2 linked regions of the Alligator mississippiensis genome follow. The protein of the gene in region 2 interacts with the protein of the main gene of each other region in a biochemical or structural test. Links are inferred from orthologs where the notes say so. Each region holds a gene or a part of one and is shown on either strand. Other genes may lie near its edges.

Region 1 (3,912 bases), on a different chromosome or scaffold from region 2:
TTAACGTCTCCCACCGCGACACGGGTCTGCATCCCACGTGGAAAAGATCATAGGTGCGGCCTAATGAGAGCTCCTAGAGACCCCCGGGGGCTGGGCACTGGCACTGGTGTCATGGCGCGATGGACCATTTATGGTGGAAACGCTGGCAGGTTTCAGGGGACGGCTGAGCTGCGAGCAGGTCCGGTGCATCGTTTACCAGCCCTTGAAGTCCTGGCAACGGAGCGCAGCAGAGTGGTTGGGGGGGTCGGGGTTGATCCAGGACATTAGTCAGATCATTTTCCGTGCCTCAGTTTCCTCCTGCTATAAAATGGGTGGAATCCTTGCCTCACTTAAGGTATTGCCAGAGTAAGCAAATCGGTGGTTTCTCCAGTGCCGTGTTGCATTATTAATGCTGTGGATGCGGCAGGGGGCTTGGCGAGCCCAGACCCCCACGCGTTAGTACGAGCAGGGTGGAGGCACCCCCTTGCCCTCGGCAGCGCCAGCGCCAGGCACCCGGCTCCGGCGCGGCTCTGGGGGGCAAACGTTTCCGGGGGGGACAAGCGTCCGTGAGGCCGGCCTGTCCCCCCCCACGTCCCCTCCCCTGCTCAGGCCCAGAATTTCATCTGGTGGCTTCAGGTCTCAGGTGCTCGCGTCTCAACTCCGCGCGGGTTGGGGGGGGGAGGGTTGTGAGTTCACACGCGCGGGGGGGGGGATTGTGAGTTCACCAGTGCAAAGTGCGGGTGAGTTCATACGCGGGTGGGTGGGGATTGTGAGTTCACCAGTGCAAAGTGCGGGTGAGTTCACACGCGGGGGGGAGATTGTGAGTTCAGCAGTGCACAGGGGGGAGCAGGAGTTGTCGGGCCGGGTGCACACGCGGGGGGTGAGTCCCCCAGTGGCTGTGACCGCCCAGGGGCGCTGCGCTGTGCGGGCCCCCCCCCACGCCGGTGCCGGGAGGGGAGGGGTCAACGCGGCCCGGGTTGCCAGGAGCAACCCCCAGCCCAGCCCGGAGGGGGAGGGGTGGTGGAACACGCCCCGCCCACACCTGGGGGAGGGCGGGGCCGGGGAGCCACCCCCCAGCGGGAGTCATGTGACCCGCCCCGCCCGGCCCGGCGGCGAAGGGCGTGGCCCACTCCTAGGGGGCGTGGCCCACTCCTGGGGGCGGGGCCTGGCCGCACTGGGGGGCGGGCGGTAGGTAACAGGTTGCAGCGGGGAGCGGTCGCGGGAGCGGTCGCAGCGCGGTGAGTGCCCCCGGGGCCATGTTCTAGCCCTCGCCGAGGGCTGAGTGGACCGGACCGGACCGGACCGGACCGTACCGTGTTGCACCCCTGGCGGGTTGCGGGAGGAGCTGCTCCTTGCTCGGCAGCCTCTGGGTCCCCCCGGGCGGGCGGGCTTGGGCTGCCGGCTCCGGGCGGCGGGACGAGACGGGACGGGACGGCGGGGTCGCACCCTGCTCGCGGCAGCCCCAGCCCCAGCCCGTCGTCCCGCCGCGGGTCTGTGCAGCCCCCGGGGACGGAGACCCGGCGGCTCTGCGGAGCCCGTCCCGGTGCTTCCCCGCCTGCAGCTGGGGCCCGTCGTCCCTCGTCTGTCACCGGCCGCCCGGGCCCAGCCCGGCTCCGTGCCCGCGCGGTCTTCTCCTCTCCGGGGTCGGGACCCGCCGCCCTCTCGCCGGGACGAGCCCCAGTCCGTGCGGGGGCTCAGGGAGGACGCAGCTGGGCTGGTCTCGGCGGGGCAGGCGGAGCGATGGGCTCCAGTCGCAGACCGGGGGGGCTGAAGTTGGATATTGCGAAAAACTTCCTCCGGAGGAGGACGAAGGCGTTGGGGCTGGTCCTGCCCTGAGCAGGGGCTGGACTGGGCAGTGGTTGGTTCTCAACGTTTTTTGGACCAGGACCCACTTGTCAACATCGCTGGCCAGTGCTGGGCCGGTGCCCTTCACCTCCGACCCACTGCCCCCTACCCGCAGTGTGTGGGGAGCGGCGGGACCCCAAGCAGCTCCTCCTGGCTGCAGCTCTGCCAACCCGCAAGGGAAGAGCTGCGGTTTCCTATGTTTGTTTGTTTTTTTCTTTAAAGGAGAATTTAAAGATTGTTTGTGATCCATTCATATATTCTTACAACCCCCTTTTGGGCTGTGACCCTATGGGTTGAGAAATGCTGCCCTAGATGTGACCTCCTGAGGCCCTTCCCGCCCTCGTGCTCTAGGTTTCTGTGACTGTTGCGATGCTTCTGCCCCGACTTTGCTGCACTGGTGAATTAAAAATATTTCTCCAAGTCTTTCATGGCTGCTTGACACTAATCTCTGACCAAGTCTGGCATAAAGGTCAAGTGTCGGTGCCCAGCTGGGGGGCTGCAGGCAGTTTGGGTTCATCTTTCTGTCCTGGAAATGAATATATCTCTTTTACCCCCCAACTTTGGCACTGTTCAGCACAGACAGAATCAGAATTTGACGTGAGGTTTGTTGTCTCATGTGAAACCCCAGGTCTTGCATGTGATTAATCCTGAGTGCCAGACGGATGAATTTAGTCTCATCAGAGAAGTCTTGACCGGGCAAAACTATGTTCAGTCCCACACATCCACATGATCTCTTACTGAGGTCATGTGGGACTCTTACAGGACTGTAAAATGGGTTTAAACCCATTTCCCACTGAAGAAGTGCCACATAAGTTGTTCTAAAACTTTAATGTGGAGCTCTTAAGACGGATCGTATTCCTGCTGGTTCTGAAGGATGGTATTTTTAGCAGCCAATTTAAACTCTGTGTGGAGGGGAAGGAGATCTGAGCCTTTGATTAGTTGTTCACACTCTGCAGTTGTTTAAAACCTAACTGCTGGGCTGCAGCTCTCAAAGCTGAAGCCCCCATCTTTCTAACCACTTCTCTTCCCCCCCTGAGTTAATACTTCATGTTCAAGGCCCTGTACCAATAACTTATAGCTTTTTAAAAATATCATATCTATATCCCTATAATTGAGATGCTCTGACTTATTGTAATAAAATATATGGATGAATAAGAGTGCGCTCTGCACAGAATACACCCATCTGCTTTTGAAGGCTTGTCTGTGCCGTAGTGCACGGATTGCCTAGGCATAAATCCTGGTTTCTATCGGGAGTCTTGACAGGAGAAAGATTTCATCCCTGAGAACAATTTCATTGCTTCCCCTTGCTCTAGCTCGTGCCGTTCCATCCTTCAATGCAGTGTTGCAGCTTTTCAGAAAGAGGCACTGGGAGGCTCATTTATGTAATACAGTTGTTCTGTTGGTGGTTTCATACCATTGTAAGCCCTGGGTGATGGAGTGATCTGTGTCTGGGATCTGAGTGCTGAGAGGAGAGGCAGTGGTGGGGCCAAGAGATCTGGGTTCAGATCCTGACTCTGCCACTGACTCTGTCTACCCTTGATCAAGTTACTTAACACCTTGGGGTCATTCTTCTCCCTGGTGAGAATAAGCATGTCTTACTTACCTTGCCCTGCTAGATTGGGTTTGGCTGTAAGTGGGGCACAGCTCCTAGTACACAAGGGTTCTGACCCCTGTGGGACCTGGGGGTTAATGGTCTAATATAATCAGTCTAGTGCTTAAAATACATGTTTCCTCTTAAGAAAAATATGCCACCACATCCCCTTTCCTCTCATCTCTATCTATCGCATGAGCTGGCACCAGTGCTGAGCTTGGGATTCAGTAGGGTGTTAGGGAGGGAGAGGGATGTGGTGAGCAGAATAGCAGGCAGGGGCGATGGGGGGAAGGGTGTCTGGGCTCTGTTTTTGCAGTCTGGTTTCTGACTTGGATGATCTTGAGCAAGTGGCTTTCCTTCCCTGTCCTGCCTCGGTTTCCCTGTCTGCAAAATGGGGGTAAGGACACAGACTTCTCTCTCAAAGCACTTTGAGAGCAACTGGTGAAAAGCCTGAAAGCCGGGCGCAGAGAGCAGTACTATCTGTTATGGGCACCCCT
Region 2 (3,912 bases):
TTACTCTGCAGAAAAAGCATGTTATTTTTGTCTGATCTTTAGACCTATATCACCAACCTGACTGCTCATATAATACGGCACTGGGTGTAATGTGAACACAGAGGCAAGAGGTGCTGCAGATGTAAATGGATTCCATGAATATAGCATATTTTTCCTTCAGACATTTGTGAATCATTTAAGATCCACTCTATTGTCTTGACTATCCCTCACAAAGCAGAGAAATCTGGCTATACAGTTGGAAAATGTAGGCCTGATCCAACTTTTAATGAAGTCAATGGACTTCATTAACTTCAGAGGATGCTGGACCAGGACCATTCAAAGTGACTTTTAAAAGAAACATATTCAGGGTTCCACTGTAATATGTGGACACAGGATCAGATTCCAAGAAAAGACAAAAACAGAAAAAGTCAATATTTGAGCTACATTATAATTATTTTTTAAAAGAAGTAATATATTCTTATACACATTGCTGTTTAAGATGCACAAGGAGTACACTGAAAGGAATGCATTATTGAGAGAATAGTGGAGGTGGTGGCATGTTATGGTTTTGACAATATCAAAACCAAATACTTGGTACTTTATACAGTACAAAAGTGGGTTTTCTGAATTTAACCAAAGTTATCCATATGAAAGAATATTTTTGTAATGGAAAATATTTTGTGCGCTTTTGTATGCTTCAGTTAATTTAATTTGGAAATTACAATATTTCTGTTTTTTAAATCATGTTGCTTTCTACAAATGGTATAATAAGATTTAATAATAACAACAGAAAGCTTAGTAGTTGCACATATAAAAGTATAGTTATGCAACTAACAAACCTGGATGGCATCCAAAAATACTAAAATGTAAAAATAGTTTTTTCTTCAGTTTTACATATCCTGAAACATACAAGAAAAAGACAAACTCTGGAAGAAATACAGTAAATGGCAGATCTACAGCAATTTTATTCTGCTTCTCTGAGGTATGTCCAGGAGGTTATGTTGTCTGTTCCGGATGAGTGTGTAAGAATTATACATATATATATATATATATATATATATATATATATATATATATATATATATATATATATATGGTTATATATAAATATAAAAATCAAGGCCAATTCAAGACAGAGCCTATTTGCCAATTGTGACAAGACGCTGCTCCTGAAAACAGATCATTTTAGAGTCATCTTCTTTTTTTAACAGCATGTCCAATCACTTCTTTCTCTGACACTCTGCACTCTTCCACTGTGACCATGGCCACAGTGACAGACAATCGTATGACCACTACTGCTTAAGTGTCATTCTCCGTGTCCTGTAAACATTTTTCCCTGCTGTACAAATGCAATAGAAAATCCTGATACTTTCCCCAGAATATTTATCTTTGTAGCCACGTGACTTTTCCTCCTTAATATTATTTGTTCTGACAATGACATGTGTCCTACTGCTTCAATCAAACTGATAGCAGTCCCTTCCAAGTCAAAAAGAGTGACTGGACAGTGCAATGCCATCTGTTGCTTGATGCCCTTGCCCACATTTTACAAAGTGACACTTCACAGTATATTTTCCATAACATGGATTTTTGATTCCTCCAGAAATCAGTTCAGCTCACTGACCAGAAAACCACAAAGGCCAGTGGAAACGAGGTGCACAGAAAGGTTATTTTTTTTTAACCGTATCGAAGCCACATATTGGATCTTCCTTTTTGGAGATTCGTATGTGTGCCGAGTCAATTGTGGCTTTAAATGTATGAGTATGAGATAGGTATAGGAGCATGTGGGTGAGCTAGATATGTAAGAGTATGAAATAGATGTCCAAGTATGAGCTATACAGATCTCGTACCCTGATATATGAGAGTTATCAGTATGAGATAGATAGATAGATGGATAGAGAGATAAGAGTATGAGATAGAGAGATAGATACCAGAGTATCACACACACACACACACACACACACACACACACCTGAGTGTGAGATTAAGATGTATCCATCTGGCACTGGGATCTCTCTCCCACACTCATCTACCCGAGCATGAGAGACAGAGGTAACGGTGCGAGATGCCCATGTGCGTAGGGCAGAGGCATCTCCTGCTCACACAGGCGAGCCCCAGGCGGACCCCCGAGTGCGAGCCCGAGCCCGAGCCCGAGCCCGAGGGAGGCAGCCTTGGGAGGTGCGAGCGGGGCAAGGCGCAGCGGAGCACGAGCCAGGCTTGCCCCCGGGGCCCGTGGCGGAAGGCGCTGCCACGGTGTCCGGGACCCGCGCCGGCCCGCCCGCCCGCCCGCCCGGCGGTGCCCGCGATGCCGCAGGCGGCGGCGGCGGCGGCGGCACTGGACAGCTCCCTCCCGCGCCCGCCGCCATGGCCCTGCGGCAGCGCAGCCGGCCGCCCCGCATCGCCCCGCGCCTACTCACCACAGCTTCCGCTTGAGGGGCATGAGGCTGCCGCGGTTGGAGGCGGTCACCCCGATGGCCATCTGCAAGACCGTCAGGTATTTCTGGTACTTCATTTTGCCGTCGCTCCCCCGGTCCCTGCCTCGTCCCCGCCGCCGCCACCGACAGAGTCTCTCCAGCCGCTGCATGCAACCATCCGATGGTGATTCCCAGGCATCTGCCGGCCCTGCCTCGCGCCTGCCGCTCTCCCCCGCCTGCCGCCGCTCCTGCTCCTCCTCCTCCGCCGCCGCCGCCGCCGCCGCCGCCGCCTGCTCCGCGCTCCCCCGGCTCACGCCGCCTCCTCCTCCTCCTCCTCCTCCTCCCGCGCTGCCCCCCGCTGACGCGGCCTCCTCCGCCCCCGAGCGCGGGGCATCTCCCGCCCGCGCCGCCGCCGCCACCGCTACCGCCACCGCCTCCTCCCCTCCCCTCCCCTCCCGTCCCCTCCGCGCTCCTCTCCTCCCGCCGCGCCGTGAGGCGGAGCTCCTCTCCTCTCGCCCGCACCTGCGGCCGCCCCCATGGCTCTGCCCTCGCCCCCTCTCGCTGCCCTGCGGCTCGGCCCCCGCTCGTCCAAGCTCCTTAGTGCCGAGAATAGCCCCGCGTTATTTCCTTCCCGCGCGGCGCCCCCCACCACGGCTGGGGCTGGGGCTGTGGCGGGCCTGAGCCGGGAGCTGTCCCGTCCCGTCCCGTCCCGTCCTGTCCCGCGCAGACGGACTTGGGGTCCCCCCGCGCCTCCTCAAGCGGCAGAGCCGGCGCCTCCCCTGCACAGCTCCCAGACCAACGGCCTGAAGGACACAAGCGCCGCTCTCCATTCTCCCAAGTGGCAGCAAGGACTGAAGTGAATCCACCTTGTTCAGTTATATGCGCGGGGGGGGGGGGGGGGGGGGGGGGGCGTTTCTATAGGTGCCACCACTTTGGTCATGCTGGAGGAAATAAAAAAGCATGATCAAGTGGTGGGGCATGGGCACAAGATGGATACTAATGCAGTCTTAAATTGTTGGTACCATTCAACCCCAAGTTCACTATTAAAAACCAAGTGCCCTGTCCTTTCAGCCTCAGCACACCCCAAATTTAAGTTGCGTGCAGTGTACTGATGTACCAGCCTTGACACACAGAAGCAGTGAGGTGCACTTGCCTCTTGGGGGGAGAGCAGTACCCAGCTGACCACCAATACTAGATGTTGTGACTAGCGCTACCAGAACAAACCCACCTCCTCTCAACAAGCTCAAAAACATCTTTAATGTCCACACAAAGCAGTGAAGACCTAACATAACATAACATGATACCCTTACTACTACTACTACTAACAATAATAAAAAAAAATCCTTTTGAACCTTCCCAGGAAAGATGCTCTCATATGAATACTGGGAAGCAGCACTCCAGAATTACAGCTCTTCAGCAGAGGTTTTGCTACCCATGTTCTCAAGATTATTACCAGAGATGGTTTGAAATTGACTCCTTAAAATATCAGTTGCCACAACAGTTCATTCGACTGCCCCTATGT

What was found.
Region 1: the proteins of TJP1 (region 2) and CGN form a complex in vitro, tested with the Homo sapiens proteins (2 studies listed by BioGRID and IntAct, with this or other methods). The link is inferred for Alligator mississippiensis from reciprocal best matches to the Homo sapiens genes TJP1 and CGN.

The regions. Positions count from the first base shown.
Region 1 is NC_081838.1:19,748,472-19,752,383, reverse strand, and holds the start of CGN (cingulin), read left to right. Parts: upstream 1-1,134; 5' UTR 1,135-1,217; intron 1,218-3,912. UniProt on the Homo sapiens protein: Probably plays a role in the formation and regulation of the tight junction (TJ) paracellular permeability barrier.
Region 2 is NC_081834.1:36,584,553-36,588,464, forward strand, and holds the start of TJP1 (tight junction protein ZO-1), read right to left. Parts: upstream 2,576-3,912; 5' UTR 2,561-2,575; coding exon 2,394-2,560; intron 1-2,393. UniProt on the Homo sapiens protein: TJP1, TJP2, and TJP3 are closely related scaffolding proteins that link tight junction (TJ) transmembrane proteins such as claudins, junctional adhesion molecules, and occludin to the actin cytoskeleton.